3 linked regions of the Oreochromis niloticus genome follow. The protein of the gene in region 3 purifies or fractionates together with the protein of the main gene of each other region. This does not show direct contact. Links are inferred from orthologs where the notes say so. Each region holds a gene or a part of one and is shown on either strand. Other genes may lie near its edges.

Region 1 (5,675 bases), on a different chromosome or scaffold from region 3:
AGTGGAAGCCAAAGGGCACAGCTCTGCAGCACATGGTCAGTGGCCTCTGCCTGGACAGTCAAACCCCGATGGGACCTCCAGTCATTTTACAGTGTCGCCCCCAGATGGCCAGCCAGTCCTGGGAGCCACAAGTCATTACCTGAGCCACAGAGAATGGGAAGAGGGAGAGGGAGGAGCAGATTCTGGACCCAGCCTGCAGAAGGAATTGGGGTGTCACGTCTGCACACTGTTTGTCGCCTTGCTGAAGGATAAAAGTAGTGGGAACTCTACTGTCTTGAAGTCAACTTCTAGCTCCTGCTCATTGTGTCTTGGGGACAAGAGTGCGCTGAAAACATTTTAAGACCCTGTTGAACAAAACATCTAAGGTCTTCTGTGTACAGTGCTTCATCCTTCCAGGATGCTTTAGTTCTTCTAAGTAATCTACGCTTTTCACAGAAAACTGTCACACATCCCACTTTTTCATTTCTGTATCTATTCTGGTCTACATGTTGCTTAAATCTGGAATAGTGAAGATTACCCGTAAAGAAAGAGTGCATAATGTACTGTTGCTAATATGCTGACTTGCACTTGACCCACTCTGAGTCTTGAGGTTTTTGGGCTGTTGAAGCATGTCTGATGACTGTGTGGACCAGGGCAGTTTTATGTGCAGTCAACTAAAATCTGAAAACAAATTTTTTTAATTGTTATTGCTGAATGGCAGTCTTGAAACCACCATGCGAAGCACTGTCAGGAAGATTATTTATTGTTTTTGCATGGTCAGACCCAAAGAATGTTTTTTTTCCTCTGTCTCTACAAGGTTTTATGTAAATATTTAAGGCAGGTAATGGCTTGTTTTGTGTAAAGTTCTCTATATGTTGTTTGAAAAAATAAAATGTGGTAATGGAGACATTGCTGTTGTAGTCATTTGAATAATAAACTGGATTACTGCACCATCACCGCTGTTTTCATCATTTTATAAAACAGCAAAAATCCTTTTTTGCATTGTACATGTTTGCATCCTAATTCACAATGGATATCCGAATAATTACATGGGGCTTATTGTAGCCATTTCAAACTTCATTTGAAGCCTTGGTGTCTACTAGAGTAGATTTACACGATTCACAGTTAAAAGTAATCATTTATTCTTTTGTGTAGCCAAACAACTGGTTTAGCTTCTCTCGCTTTAAGCCTTCTTTCTCATCATTGGTTGCCCCACTCAAACATAAAGTTTAAACAGTGGTTGTTTGGACTCAGTGCCTAACATAACCATTTTTAGACTATCCCCTGTCCTTGGTATCACAAACACTAAAGTGAGTCTGAAACGGAGTGAGCTTTTGGCTCACAGGCATTACTTTCACATACTCTAACCAGATTATTTGAAATTATCCATTTAAATATACAAAGAAAGCATTGCAGATCCACTTTCAAGTCCATTATATTTGAGACATTTATTTAAAGTATATATATCTTTAATATAAAGCAAAAAAATCAAATGGAGTTCTTCAGATGCTGATAGTTTCTATAGATTATTCTGTTACTTGGGGCCAGTGTGAAATTAGCAGTGTATTCCCTTTAAAAATAAGGGCCATGATTAGCTTCAATGTGTGCATAAATAATCTTTTTAATTAGGCAACGCAGTAAGTGGGAAAACGTGTAGACTCCTGGCTACATGACTGAAACCGTCCACCACTCATTACTCACACACACAAAGTGACCACCAGGGGGCATAATATGCTAACTTTTTTTCATTATAACGTTGGTCTCTTCATAGATGGAACCTCATGGTAAAAATAATAGATATACAAAATTAAAATGAATGTAAAAATAAAATAAAACAAGACTCTCGAAGAGTTAAGATAATTAAGGGGAAAAAATCGAGGCAGTAACAACGTGTTGGAGACTGGGAGGTCACTGCTGGGGCACTGTGAAGATTAATAAAGTTACTGTACAAGGCTGCATAACAGGCTTGACAACTTTGTGAACCAAAGTTTTTTTTTTTTTGTTTGCCTCCTTGTTGGTTTCATAACCTGTGAGGACACAATACAAGTTACACTGCAGCTTACAAGGCTTTAAAGGTATGCGAGGAATGCAACTTAATGCTGATAAACTTCTGGCCTTTTCAAGGGGTCAGTGAAGACAGAGGGAGTGGAGGAAGCCTTTAACTGGATGTATATGAAAAGAAACACGTTTCACTCGTTTAAACGTGCTTCGTTTTTGTTATGTGGTGAGAACGTGATGGCCTACACAGGAAGGATGATTGCGGTGAAACTCGGGATGGCACTGCACTGATGCCCTAATTTTTTTGTCGTTTCAGGAGTGACCTCACTGACAGGGTTATATTTGCATATCACCCAGACAATGAATTTGTAATGAAGGTGCTCGTTAAAAGTGGCGCAACTGAACGTTTGCAGTGGTGCCTTACATAGCCTGCTACATTTGAGAGGAAAATAGCACTAATATATGAAATACAAGAAAACCTAATGAGAACATAGGCATACAATTTGATACCTGCTTATATAGAAATCAGCCCCACTGTCACAAAATACGAAAAGTAAAGTGTTGCTTGCAACTTATTAATTGTAACAATAATCCATCACACACTCTTCAGGTCAGATTATAGTAGTTATATATTTACAGGTGCATCTTAATTGGAGCTAAACCCGATAGACTGAAGCGGTGTCTTACAATGTGCTTTCACGCCTGCTTCTCTTAATGACTACAAGACGAACAGCGTAAAGAGTGAAACTCAGCTTCGATCCAGGTTGCACTATCGAACATCGATCACCTTCGATGTACACGCGCCGGCCAATGGGGTCACGCGGAGGCGGTCCGTTGCTAAGGAGGAAGTTTGATTGAGGCTGTGAGTAGCAGCCATTCAGCGGCGGTGGCTGAAGCGATTGGACTGCGAGCGTCTCTCCCGACACTTTCTGTGGAATTTGAATTATTTTGGCACGGCACGGCTCGTGATACACTGGTGACGGCATACACGGGGCATCTTGAGGGTCGCAGCGGTGATCGCAGGTAGGCTGAAAGTGGGCTGTGTGCACTTTGGTAAGCATGCCCGGTGAAGCTTGTTAGCTCACCGAGCTAAGCAGCACTAGCTTGTGCCTCTCTGATGCGGCACACGGAGCTATGGCAGCTCCCATTAACACGGCATTTAGCTCTCTTGCTAACCTAACAAAATAGATGGTGTTAAGCTGTCTAACATCTTTATCTGCTGTTGGAAAATATCTGCTTCTGTCTTGCCGAATAAGCTAAGGTGTTTAAGAGGTATGGCTAACGTTAGTTAAGTAGCTAACGATTCTCAAGTTACCTGGATAACTTTAGGGGGATGGACGTTATTCAGCAAAATGACCTAAGCTCATCGGATAGCTTGCTCCTAGCACACGGTTTGTCACGACATTCACTTACACCCTATCACACGGTTCGCTTGTGTAATACCATTCTTACAAATGATATTCATCGGTAGCTTGGCAGTTTAGTGACTTGCAAGTTTCTCCCCCCCGCCCCCCTCAAAAAGTGTTAATTCACAATAAAGGTGGGTCTTCTTAACACTCATCCATCCAGACAGGTTGATCACCATGACGATACAGACTGTGACTCAGAGTCTTAGCACTCGGAATGTTCTGAAGTGTGATAATGTGTCTAAGATCGTCTTATATGGCAGGTGGATCTTTTCTTGCAAGAGAGATCAAGAAGTCCGCCATTCATGATCAGATAACCATCAGTGGTCAGATTACCTTCCACGTGGAGACTGTACTAAGATAGCCACATGATAGATTGTGTGATAGCCCCAGCAGCACAACCATACGGTTGAAACATCCTGTTTATTGGACGCTAATTCTATTTGGATTCTGTCATTAGGCATTTTATTATTGGAGCAGCGATGTAATTTGTGACCAGAAATAATACACAGGATGAGTTATTTGTTTTTGTTTGGAAAACACAGACGCAACCCTCTGGGTGATCGAGGAGAGGTGCTGAAATCCACTTATTCTGACTGTAAATATCAGATTATAGTAAAAAAGAAGGAGTTCAAAATATGTCCTGCATTGCTTATTTTATTCTGCTTACAATACTAGCACTCGGTTTCAGAGTGCTCAGAGCAGTGGGGGATGTAGTCAAGTGCTATACAGTTTATGTACTTTTTATTAGGTATTGCTAGTACCAGGTTTGACTCCCCTTTTCATTGAGAACAGAAATTCTTTGTGGCACAGATTCATAGGTTGGTTAGGTTGGACATGTTGAATGTTGTGCTCCTCACCTTTCTTCCCCATTGTGATGCTCAGTTTGAACTTGGTCTTGTCAACCAGCTCTCCCAGTTGCTGCCATGTGATCGGCTGATCATTTGTTTGCATTAACGAGTAGTTGATCAGGTGCACCTACTAAAGTGAGTGAGGAGGACATTAGGAGTGCTCGCACATCAGCTGTTGACTGCTGTCAGGCTATCTGCAGGGAAGATGACATTTACTGATGGCAGGGGATAGTTATCTGTTGTGTCATGTCAGTTTTGCACAGGCTAAATGTTTAATGATGGTGTGTTAAAGACCTGAAAGAAGCAGTAGACTTTCTGTTAGATAAGGGTTAGAAAAAGAATGTTAGGGCAGAAAATAAAAGCAAAACAATCAAAAAAGATCTGCCAAATGTATATTTTTAGCTGTGATTTTGAACTGGATGTATCAATGGATTAATTCCTAGAGAAACAGGGTAGTCTTAAATCTATTTACCATATGTAAAAAATCCTCAAAGAACTATAAAAGCAATACAGGAAAGAGAAGTAGTCATTATTGTTATTCATCCCTAGTGGTAGCACAGTAATGACCAGAGAGATGCAGTTTGTTTTGATGTCAGCTCTTATCCAGGGTTTGTTCTGCATTTACAACATTTTGGCGCCCATCAAAGACAATTTAGCCTTCACTCTAAGGAAAATCACCAGGACTGTGATTTTTGTCAATATTTTTTGCTAGTGGTCTCTAAATTACTCAGCCTTAAAATACACATGCAGACTTCTGTAAGGTGAGGTTATACAGACCCTTTTGTGGTTATGTTTGTAGCAGTCTCCAAAGGCTCATTTTGTGTTCATTTTGTGTTCTTTTTGGGGGACTGCTGCTTTTCCCTAACAGAGAGAGATGAGATTCTTTTTCCTCCAAATTTTGAAAGGGATGGCTTAGCTCATCTCACAGGATGAGGGAGGCAAGATTGGCTACCAGCCACCGAACCTACTGTGTAAGTCTGTCAGCTGTTTGGGAGAGGAGGAGAATGCAGGAGCAAGTCTCCGTCCTGAGCTCTGTGATTCACTCTGTGGGAGAATCTAGCTTTAACTCTCAGCATTTTGCTCTCTTCTCAAAGGCGGGGCCTACACTTGGCAGTGAGTTGTACATGTGAATACTGAGTAGTGATGCAACTGCAGGTAGATAAAGTTGCCGTATGATGACGATGCAGTCTAAAGCTTTACCCTGATAGGATGCTGATAGGAGAGTGATAGCTGAGCCTCTTGCTGCTCATGGTGAAATTAGAGTGAATGTCACTGTCAGCTTAGCATTCAGTCCAGCGTTACCTTGATCATTAAGAGATGACTGATATGGCAGATATGTTTTTTGTTTTCATGTTATCGTCAAACAGTCTGGATCAGGGTGATGTGTATGTGTCATCTGAGCCCGTTTCAGTGTTGTTATCCATATCCTGTGCTTTTTGTC
Region 2 (5,675 bases), on a different chromosome or scaffold from region 3:
AGCCTCTTCCCTTTAAAAAGAACTTAGTAACACAGCTTGGGTTTGTAAAGTTGCATCTAAACAAACCCCAAGACCTCTGGAACAATGTCTGCTGGAGCTGTGTGGCAAAACCCCCAAAAACAACAGATCAAACACCTCAGTTGAACTGTGAAGCACGGCAGTAGAGGGGTGATGATGTGGGAACTCCTCTGAATACCAAAACTTTCTAGACTCAAACCTAAAGCTTGGCCCAAACTGGATAATAAAATTAAAATAAAAAGCTAACATAATAGACGGCGACTTACTTAAAATGGTCTTGTAAAGCGACATTAAAGTCAAATGAGTCTCCACGATCAGCAAAACCCAGACCAATAAAAGCATGACGTCCTTTAGGGGTGGGGGGGGGAAAAGATATTTATACAGTTAGTTCACACGGGTTCAACCTTACATCTATAAATCACAACACACATACAACAGGGCACACAGTTTACAGGAAACTGGGACTATGAGATTACAAAAGTTAAGTTGTACAAAACAAATACTGAGATTAAGTCAAGCTCAACAAAATGTGGAGCATGCCCTTAATGAAACAAAAGAAGCCGTTCCAAATACTTTGTCTTACCGTTGCCATCCTCTATCCGGATCACAAAATACCTGCTGGAGTCTGTTACTGCTTCCACGACACAACCTGGATACTGTTCGACTGGAGCTTGTGCAAACAGCTCTCCTGCAAAGAGCAAATTTACACCAAACAAAGCCCCAGGGTTTTTTTCTGTTACCAACAAGGTGTCAAGTTGAGATGACTGAATAAGACAAAAGAAGACAGCAAGGTTTCTGAAAAGGAGCTTTGATAACCCTGTAACAATATGTCATGCTGTAATGTAAAAGGTTGACCTGGTAACAATCACTGAAACTGCAAAATGTTTTAATGTATTCCAAAAAACCCTTTAAACTATTTTTTCTGTTAATGTAAGTAAAATAGTTCAAAGACACAAGCTAGTTCTGAATAACAGGACCTACTTCTTTGCATTTTTGACACTCATTGGCTACAGGTCGCAAAGCAACCGTGATAGTCAGTAACATCTGTTCACACAGCTATGGTCAGAAGGTTGCACACACATTCATTGTGGCCATGAACGTCACAGTAATTATGGCTTTTAATGGTTTATTTGACTTGTTCCATTTCCAGGGGGTAATGATTGTACAACATAGACCTTTATAGACTCATTGTATTGACCAATACTCAGAATAATGGGAAAGTCCAAAGAACTCAGCAAAGATGTGAGGATTCTAAATTTACACACATTAGGAAGGTCTCTACTAAACAAGTGCAATTGAATAATTTTTTTGGATGTGTCACCACTTCTTTTTCCAAGGACTGAAAGAAGAACGAACCTTTCACCCTCAGATGAGAGGAAATTGGTGAGGATGTTCAGGAAAAACCCAGAAAGCCCCAATATTCAAGCGTGCCATGAATTGACATCTGCTGGAACACCAGCATCGCTGTCCATAGTGAAACCACTTTTACATCACCACGGAGAGGGCGCCGACCAAGAAAGAAGCACCTGCTCCAAAATCAGCACTTTCAAACTTGACTGAAATTTGCAATTCCTCACATGGACAAGTAAAATACCTTCTGGAGAAAAGTTTTGGGGTCAGATGAGATAAAGACTGAGCTGTTTGGTCACAATGACAAGAGTTTAGAGGAGTAAAGCTGAGACTTTTAAACTGAGAACATTATACCAGCTGTCAAACACTGTGGTTGTAGCATCATCTTCGGGAGCTGTTCTTCTGCCAGTGATACCAGTACATTGCACAAAGTGGATGGAATAATGAAGACAGAGGACTACCTCCAAATGCTTCAACTTCATCTCGGATCACTTCAGATCAGATCAAGTTTCCACCCTTCTTTCCGGAGGGTCGAAACTTGAACATAGTTGGGTGTTCCAACAGGACAATGTTCCCAAACACACATCAAAACTGGTTTTGGAATTGGTAAAGCAGGCTAACATTAAGCTTCTGGAATGATTTTCCCAAAGCCCCAAGGCCAAGCCTATTGAAATGTTGTGGACTAGACTTAAATGAACTCCACCAATTCTGCCAAGTAAGTGTTCAACCAGAATTATACCAGGAGCTTGTTGATGACTACCAAAAGCATCTGGTCGAGGTGCAACTTGCTAAGAGACATTTAACCAAATATTAGTAGGGGTGCATGTACATATTTAAAAGAATTCTAATTATATTCAAGCTTGCGCATCCAAATGTTGTTTTTTAAAGTAATTAAGGATGTATACTGTGTGACCATTCCACCCTGGAACAAGAACAGTTCAAAGAAATCATTAAATGTCCCAGATTATCATGACATTAACACTCATGATGTACGTGAACTTGTGACCACAAGTGTATATCGTCAAATGCAGTTGGCTAAATCCACTAAGAGCAGAAGACGTCAGAGCCAAAGCAGGACAGGTCAGCTAATCACAGCCTGTTCGCAATGAAAACAACCTACAGGACCTCAGCATAGAAAACTATAGTGACTATGTGACTCCTTTCTAAGTGAATCATGCTGTTACACTTTACCAGATCCTCTTTGCCAAATCCCACTTTAAATACTGGTTTTGAACCACATATTTAAACCGTCAACGGATTGTAAGACACAACTACGAAGACACAAACCTAACTGTTAACTAGTTACTACAATCTAGTTTTGGGTTTACTACCATTTTTGTTTCTTCTTCTTAGTCTTCTTTGTAACTTCACTAATTAAAGCAGTGCTTTTTCTGCCCACCTGTATTTTTATCCTCCAACTTAATGTAGGCCATCTTTCCTTTGGCAGTTATTTTCATCCTTCCACTCCACGCAGGTTCATCCAGCTTCCAGTCTGCAGCACTATAAAAAACAGGAAACACATATCTACTTGTGAAAGTGGTGTAATCCTCTATGAAAACAGCTGACCCAGTCACTGCCAGCTGCTACTTTTGATGGAGGAGGAAGGGAAATGAAAGCTTCGACTCAGACTAAAATGAGACATGACGAGCTCTATCTATTCTTAAAGATGTTAAAGCCATTAAAATGTAGTTGTTAACTGTTATGTCTACAGCATTTAAACTGTAAGAAGATGTTTTCAACAAATTGTTTAGGAGCAAAGACGTGACTCCACTAAAACAAACGACACATTTCAAACTATCTATTATTGGACAGATACTTAAAATCAATACTTTGGCCGGCCAATCAGACTTAAGCTACAGCGTTTCATCTGCGTGTCAGCGACGTGTGAAGTAAGCTTTTAAATGCCAACAGGTGCAAGTCACAGGTAAGACGACAGGATGTTGATGTCCCATTTCCGTGAGCTGATACAGCTGCGAAGTGCTGTTTCGAAATAGCTCAGTTCACCAGTTTACTTGCCGACACTCATTTGTCTCGGAAATGTCCATCTAATTATCAAAATATTGGCCACAATGACATTTATTTAAAAAAAATATTGGCTACCCGTAAAACCAGTAATCGAATGACAAAAAACCTAACAAACTATCCTGAAAAACTTGCTGTCCGATAATTGGCGCATCTCTGCAAAATTAGCCCGCTATCAAACGTCTGGCTGCTCTCGTCAGCTAAAAACATTAGCACCTACCGATATCCGCGGTTAGAGGCCCGCGGCGGGATCCGGTAAACATGGACCTCTGGCTTTACACAGAGCATTGACTCGTAGCTGTTGTCTTCTGCCATCTTGTCAAGTTTCACTAACCCAAAAACCAACTTCCGACTTTCAATGGACCCTTCGCCTGTTCGGCTCTGTCCTGCTGAACCAGGCTGACCGGACCCTAACAGCGCCACCTCTGGCCAGGATGTATAAGCGCCTAAAGAGTACGTCACAGTCTGTCAATGAGAACTTACAATAGCCTACAGTATAATGTATATAAATAGAGAAAGAACAGGAAGTTTTCCATAAGAACACTGAAATTATTCTCTTCTTATAAAAAAATGATACAAATCGTATTTCTGTCCTTTCTAGAAGCCAGTGAATTCATGTATTTCCTTCCTGATACATTACTACACAGTACTAAATAACACAAAATATGCATTATGTGAGGTTTGTCCTAAAAATCACTTTCATCTCTTCATGCCCAGTACAAATGGGAAATATTACAGCAAACTAAACTTTTTTCAGTGATTGTTTGAAGACAAACTGGTGACCCAATCTTTGAAGTGTTAAGCAAAGTTTCCTACATTCCCTCTAATATTAGATTAGATTCATTTGTCACCATGGGGACAGTCATAGTAGCAAATTATTTTCATGTGGGTTGTTTTTCCATTGAGGGTGAAAGGCTAGAGCAGAAAAAGTCACATGTTTGTTGCCTAAAGCTCACAGGATGCAGTGGATAGTTATAAACAGATCATGGATCTGATCATGGATTGTTGATGCCTCCTCACACGCAGACTGATGTCCCTGAAGTCCATCTTAGACTGTGCTGATCCAGTGCCCCCTTAATTATTCTGAGCAGCATATGCAAGACTACTGCGTAATCTAAAATAACAACACATGAAGCAAGTTGTACCGCTGAGTGTGTTTATTAAAGGGTATTCAAATTTAATGAGCTTTTTTTCCCCCTAAAGCTTCAAAACAATGATGACATAAAATGAGCTTCACACTAGACAGGTGGCTATGAATGACTTCAGCAAAGCATCATGGGTAGGTCACACAGGTACAGGATGACTATTTCTCCTTTTCAATTTAAACTGATTAGAAACACATCTTGTTACAATAATTGAATAGGATCCCTGGGAACGCTGTATTAGTAGCACGTCATCTAGATGTTGTAGGTCCAAACGTCCTCCTTTTCATTGTAGATAATCTCCTAAAACAAAAACTTCTACTTTTTGAAGCAGGAATAAGTGGCACAAATGCAACACTTCCAGCCAAGTTGATAAATGTGCTCCTGTGCTGTGCTACAGTTTACTTGTGACATAAATAACCTTTCACAGAAAGCTCCAAATATGTATGAGCACTACCCGCTGGAGAGCGTGTGATGGAGACCAAGGATTGTTTATCTTTTAAGGCATAACAGCGTGGAAAGGTTGAAAACCTGCCGCAGGCTCATGTACTGTTTACTACAAGTGTCAGCACTGGTTATTCATCAGGATTTGCCTATACTATCATGTTATTGCAGGCAAACTCTTATTTTAAATTGGTCCCAAACAAGCAGACCACATTGTAAGATGATATTGGGTAAAGAACACCATTTTCTTTCAGGTTTCCTGGCCCTGCAACAATATTTGCCAACACAAAGCTTTAGATGATATCCCAATCTAGGCTGGGCTTGAAATAATTATTTCAGAATAATTAACACAACTCTTAACCGTAGGTAATAAATCAGCAAACTGCAGCTGGTATGAAAACCCACCAAAATCATCATCCATCATCAACTCCAGAGCTGAGCTGCTCTGAAACAGCAAAGGAACTTTTTTTTTTCTCTACACACTTTAAACTTTCAGTTCATGACTTCTGCCAATTAGATACAACTGAATATGACACGACTATGCAGACTACATCTTCTAGGCTCTTACACACTACAGATCACCTGACTTAAACGTACTATGTGTCAGAAATGAAACACATGAACAATATGAACTGTTTAAAACCAAATGTGAACAAAAAGAAACAGCACAGAAAATGGGCAACATTTTAAAAGAGAAAG
Region 3 (5,675 bases):
CAACATCAAAGATAAAGGACGAAATGTGGAAGCAAGAACATGACATTAGAATTTTCTCTGGCCTTTTTCCCCCTGTAAGCTTAATACGAAAACAATATACAAAGACATTACCTTTCCTTATTCACTGTCAATCTGTAGTACACGCAGCGCTGCGTATCAGAAAGCAAAACAAGCAGCTGTGTTTGTGCTACAGCTGACAAGGAAGGAGCAAGCATGAAAAATAAAAAAAAACTATTATTTTACTAATCCTGCTAAAAACAGCACAGATTGAATATACAGATCCCTGCATGACACTGCATGTAGCCAACTCAGACCATTAAGTGGTGTCTGAGTGGCTCAGCTTTTCGAGGCAACAGGTCATACTGAACAGTTCTGCAATGCAGCATACTGCTTACTATTCAATCCGTTTTCTCCCCAACTGTGTTTGTGGTGTCACCATGCCTTCAATAAATAGATTAAATGTTAAAAAAGGCCAAAAATGTATCTCTTGACCCAAAAACAGGAGAATACAAGTGTATCAGTTCACACACTTGTCCCTCTACAGCTTGCCAACCTTCACTGTGTAAATCTACAATGGCCTGGTCTCTCAGTTCTGGAAAAGAGCCTACTTGGACTTCAGAACAGTCAATGAATGTGAATACACAGAATTTAATAGGCAAATTTAGCTATTTACATTGGTGACTCTTTCTCAGTGTAACTCTGTAGAGCTAAATATGATACTACAAGCACTCGCCAAGTCACACCAGACATTAAACAGTCCCTAGTACAAAATATATGTCATGCCAGGTGGCCCGGTGTGAGAACTGAGCGTGTATTTGTCCAGCGAAGTGCCGCATGCTGCCTGATGGATGAAGAGCATCACCCAGGCATTGCTACCGAAACCAAACAGAGTAGGACAGTGAAAATACATTTTAAGCAGACCATCTCCTGTTGTGTTACAAATATGAGATGAGGCAACTGTTCCTGCCTGACATAATTTTACAAGTATTATCTGGGGTGTTTAAATGGAGAAGAAGAAGAAGAAGAAGAAAAAGGGGATGTGGCCAAATCTTCTGGCCACCAAGCGGAGCCCTTACATGGCACATCTGAAACCACGTAGGCAACCTGACACCTTCATGGACATTATTACAACGTGGTGTGTATACTGTCAAAGGTTTCTCTTCAAAACTGGCTTAAAACTGCTGTGTTAGGATAAGTTATGGTCTTCCAATAACATAAAAGTTGCTTTGTAAAGACTTTCTCATACAAAAAACATTTAAAAAGAAAAAAAAGCTGGTGTATATCTTCCACTCCAAACGTGAGAATCAAACTTACTCTCTGTAAAATCACAGAAAGTAAGTTTGAGGAAGGAGAACATGAACTCACAAATGAGCTGTGCAGCAGTAACAGATCTGATCTGATATGCCTAGAGTCACACTTTATGTCTGTATAACAGATTTCCACAAAATTTGCAAAATACATTTCAAATTGGGACTCCGTGTTAGGATTAATTAATTAATGTTAAGGAATCTACAGCACGAACTCCTTCATGGCTTTTGTTTTCCAAACACATGCGAGATTTAACTGACCTTATGTATTGTTATAAGCAGTGAACATTTCAGTTCAGCATACATCAGATATTATGCATTTGGTTTAAGACATTTCCTGACACCAGTGAGTAACCTTCTGTTTGACTGAAGACTTTAAAGTTAAAATATGTTATCACTGACTAGTAAATGAATGTCTACAGGATATTAAGCAATCTTTATGGGGAGGGAAAAGAAGGCTTCCTCTCTGTGCCTTTCTGCCATATGGTAAGAATTAATAACTTGTGTCTTCAAGGAAGAGTCAACATTGAATCAATTTGGAAGAGCTTTTCACTCAGATGCACTTAATCTTTTAAACACAAGGTGTGGTTGGATAAGCTTGAGTGAACCAAATCATTACCTCAGACAATATGGAAAAAGAATAACTTTTTCCCCCTCAATTGTTCCTTTCTGTATTTAGTCACTTATAAACCAAGTCCATAATAAATATTTTTGTACACATTTGATTATTTTAAAAATTGTACTACACAGAGGCAGTAACACTACTCTAAATTTAATCCCGTTGCAGGTTTGTATTTGGTCAACAACAGGAAAGACACGTGTGAACTTAGCCAAGAAGAGACATAATCCTCTCTCATCCTGGATCAACTGCAGCCTCTCCACCCACACTGCATCAGGACCTTCTCAGTGATCTGGAGTTTCTCAAAATCTGGGAACATTAGAGCGGGGTTTCTCCCAACTGAACATACCCTATGTCATCTCGGTAAACTCGGGAGATGAGGACCTCCCCCTTGTGGTTGTAGATGAACAGTCCTCCAATCATTGTGGCTGCTCTTCAATCCCAACCTGCCATGGTGAAACCAAAGCCCTCCTGAGAAAAGACAGAAATGAAGACAGGATATGTGGGAAGGAAAAGGAGGAAGAGAAGTAGAGAAGTGAAAGCAGCAAAAAAAGTGAGGGAGTAAGCAATAGTACAGAGAGGCATTTGTCCCTCACATCCGCTTTTTCCGTCCTTCTCACTCTCTCACACACACACACACACACACACACACACACACTAAAGCCAGATGGATACATCCTGCAGCTGCACTACTGTGGTGACTCATTTTTCTGTAAGACACGCACACATACATACATTATTTACTCCGTACAGGCTAAAAACCACTGCAACTACTCTCACCACAGACAGTTCCCTGTTTTCTTCTAAAGTAAATAAGATTATTGACGAGAGATTAGCAGCTACCAATCTGACGCCGGATGCCACCAGACAGCCAGCTAAAAATCTGATGGCCTAACTAAAGTGTCGTCTTACTGGCATGTGTTGTCCGAATCGGGTTATATTCTAAAATAAAAAAATATCATCAAAAATATTCTAAAGACATTTTTTGTCGTTTGGTGATTAATTCTTGCAGAAAGGTGCCCTCCTTAAAGAATGAAGATTCTGGAAAACAGAGGATGAAGGACATGCCTGACATTCCTCGAAGATAGAATCCAGACCATTTACACACACAACAGCATTCAGAGGAAAACCACCGCACAGATATAAGCCCGCAAGTGAGAAAATATCTCCTCGTTAAAGCACCGCCGAGTCGTGACAGAATAAACCTCGCACAGAAGCCGAGTGCTTTAATCGCCCATTTATCGGCGAAGTCAAGATGTCTGCTCACTCGGGCCATTTCCTAACGTTCATACATTTTTCATATTTTTCATTTTTTTCCCTCGACCACCGCGCGGCAGGTTAGCTACCATTTTTTTTGTCTTAAATATTATTAAGTGGCTTGACTGTGGTTAGAGGCTTGACCTTCAACTAAGATCGAAGTGATGGAGAATACACCGAGTGAGATATAAGCTAGCTAATTTAGCTCACGATAGCGGGCTAGCTGGCGGTGATATTCAGCGAACCGGAGTCGAGCCGTGCAGAATTTTAAATGGACTTCCGGTCAAAAGAAAACCAGTCAATTTGACGAGACCTTAAAGAGAACCATTAACTATCATCGACAACAGACGAGTTAGCCACGTAAAAATACAGCACGGGTTATTCAACAGTGTTGGGTAATATATAACGTAATAAGAGATATTTACAAGGGCGCCCTTCCTTGCTTTTAATTTGAAGGAAAAAACGAGTCCTTTCCGTTATCAGGCTAGGTACTGCTAATGGATTGACGTTAGCTAGCGCCGCGGCGGCTAATGTTGCTACGTTAGCATCACTCACAAATGAAACCGTTTCACCGGCTTTCCGTAGTGGTTTCCGGACTACAGTTACCCTAATTAACGAAAAAACTGCAGTCTTTTACCTTACCCTAGTTCTCTCAAGAACGCCACCAGTCTTTTGCCTCCCCGTTCGGCCTCGGATAGCTTATGTCAGGATCCAGTAGGTTCCCAGTTCACACGCCCGCTAATTCCGCTCCTTCCTCCTGGTCCTCTGATAGCTGTCAGCTGACCCGCCGTCCTTACGCACAGCCGTTCCGCCGTGACAGGAAAAGGCGCGGCTGGAAAGATGTGTAAACCGCACCCAGGCCTCGATACGATAAGCGACATGGGTTACTGGCCAGTTATCGTTTCACGTTTTACGGAAGGTAATGGTTATGTTTAATAGCTGGAAAGTGGGCTAGAATCCCTTATACAATAGATTTGAATTGCGCTGACATGTATATGTACTTGTTAAATATCGACAATTTCTCATTGGCTCCAAGAAGTTTAAGAAGAAGAAAAAAAAAAACACTATTGCATTTTGTTTATTTTTTCCATGGTGGTAGTATGGGTGGTCTTGTTTTACCCTGTCCTGCAGAGTCAACTTCAATTTTATTTTCCAAACTGAACCGAATCGCCTCTCAACAGGAGTTTCCGCCTCAAACCACAGGGAACATTTTGCATAGAGTTGTTCAGTCTGGGGCAAGTCCAAATGTACACAGGCTGAACGTTTGCACACTCCCACAGCGCTCCCCCACTCTCTCTCACTCATTCTCACACACACATCTGTACAGCAGACTGCCTAACCTTCACATTCCTGCGCCTGGACGGTTTGCAGTCCACTGCTTTTAAATGCAAATATAACCTCAGGTACCATAAAGGCAAAAAGAAAAAACTCACTAGGTTTCAGTTTTTGGTTTTGCAGAAAGGTATACACAAGCACACAAAACAGAAAGCAGCAGATTTAAGTCATAAAACTATATTTATAAATAAAAAGACATTTTCCTTGATAAAAGAGTAGTGTGAAAGTCATGGTAAGAAATTTTTTTTCCACTATACATTATCACAAGACAGTCTGAAGATTCGCTGGTTAGCAGACGAAAATGTAGTTGTGCCGTATAAAAACGACTCTGGAAACTGAATGCTCATGTTAAGCATTAAAAAGAAAAAGAAACTAGTTGTGACCAGCTACACATATAATAAAACAAATGCATTCTCAAAGTATGGACTGTAATTCTCTTGCACTACATACATTTCTTTCTTTCTTTCTCTCTTAAGTCAAGCAAATACTTTAAAAGTCTGAATAAGATTAACAGTTAGTGTTCATTTCAGCTTCTTTCAGTCATTCTTTTTTTCTTGTTAGAGGTCAGCAAGTGGGGGGAAAAAAGAACAGGAGGAGGGAAGAGGCTTCAGTCTCTCTCGGTTTGGACGTGGACAGGGGTGGGGGAGGACAGAGAACGTTAGATAAGGAACCCAGAGGAGGGGAGGGAAGAGTGAAAAGAAGAACAAATGAAAAACATCCATGTGGAAAAGCACTGAGTCATCTACCCCAGCTGACCATTTCCACTGCCTCCCTCCCTTCTCCTGCTCTTTGTCCTCGCTAAAACTCTTCCCCACCGTGGAGCGGAAACTGAGAAAGGCGCTTTGGTTCCATCTGGAGCAGGGTGGGGGGTGTTTCTTCACTGAAGAAAGTATGGCCACTACAACTACTAAGAAAAAGTACAAGAGAGGAGGAGCATTTTCTCTCAGCGTACACAACAGGGTGGTTCCATTTCTGCCTTTAGGTCTTTATAACCGGTGTCACATCACATCGACAAAAAATTCTCCAGCGTTGCCCACCGCCATGCGCAGAGACTGCCGTGACGCAGTGAGCTCAGGGGGCACCGAGGCAAGCTCTCTGCCAGGTGGGGCACCAGGTGCAGCTGTAGAAAGGTGTGGTGGCTGAGGGGGTAGGCCAGG

Evidence for each region.
Region 1: the proteins of AP-2 complex subunit mu-A (region 3) and numb purify together in Homo sapiens (affinity purification with mass spectrometry; 3 studies listed by BioGRID and IntAct, counting the BioPlex papers as one, with this or other methods). This does not show direct contact. The link is inferred for Oreochromis niloticus from reciprocal best matches to the Homo sapiens genes AP2M1 and NUMB.
Region 2: the proteins of AP-2 complex subunit mu-A (region 3) and necap2 purify together in Homo sapiens (affinity purification with mass spectrometry; 4 studies listed by BioGRID and IntAct, counting the BioPlex papers as one, with this or other methods). This does not show direct contact. The link is inferred for Oreochromis niloticus from reciprocal best matches to the Homo sapiens genes AP2M1 and NECAP2.

Annotation. Positions count from the first base shown.
Region 1 is NC_031983.2:21,449,388-21,455,062, forward strand, and holds the start of numb (protein numb homolog), read left to right. Parts: upstream 1-2,849; 5' UTR 2,850-3,000; intron 3,001-5,675. Other genes in the region: galnt16 (polypeptide N-acetylgalactosaminyltransferase 16), read left to right, coding at 1-143. UniProt on the Homo sapiens protein: Regulates clathrin-mediated receptor endocytosis. Plays a role in the process of neurogenesis.
Region 2 is NC_031970.2:21,522,586-21,528,260, reverse strand, and holds the start of necap2 (adaptin ear-binding coat-associated protein 2), read right to left. Parts: upstream 3,787-5,675; 5' UTR 3,706-3,786; coding exon 3,611-3,705; intron 2,869-3,610; coding exon 2,768-2,868; intron 707-2,767; coding exon 602-706; intron 367-601; coding exon 285-366; intron 1-284. UniProt on the Homo sapiens protein: Involved in endocytosis.
Region 3 is NC_031982.2:12,070,400-12,076,074, reverse strand, and holds the start of AP-2 complex subunit mu-A, read right to left. Parts: upstream 4,010-5,675; 5' UTR 3,821-4,009; intron 2,398-3,820; 5' UTR 2,350-2,397; coding exon 2,276-2,349; intron 1-2,275. Other genes in the region: segment polarity protein dishevelled homolog DVL-3, read right to left, coding at 5,517-5,675.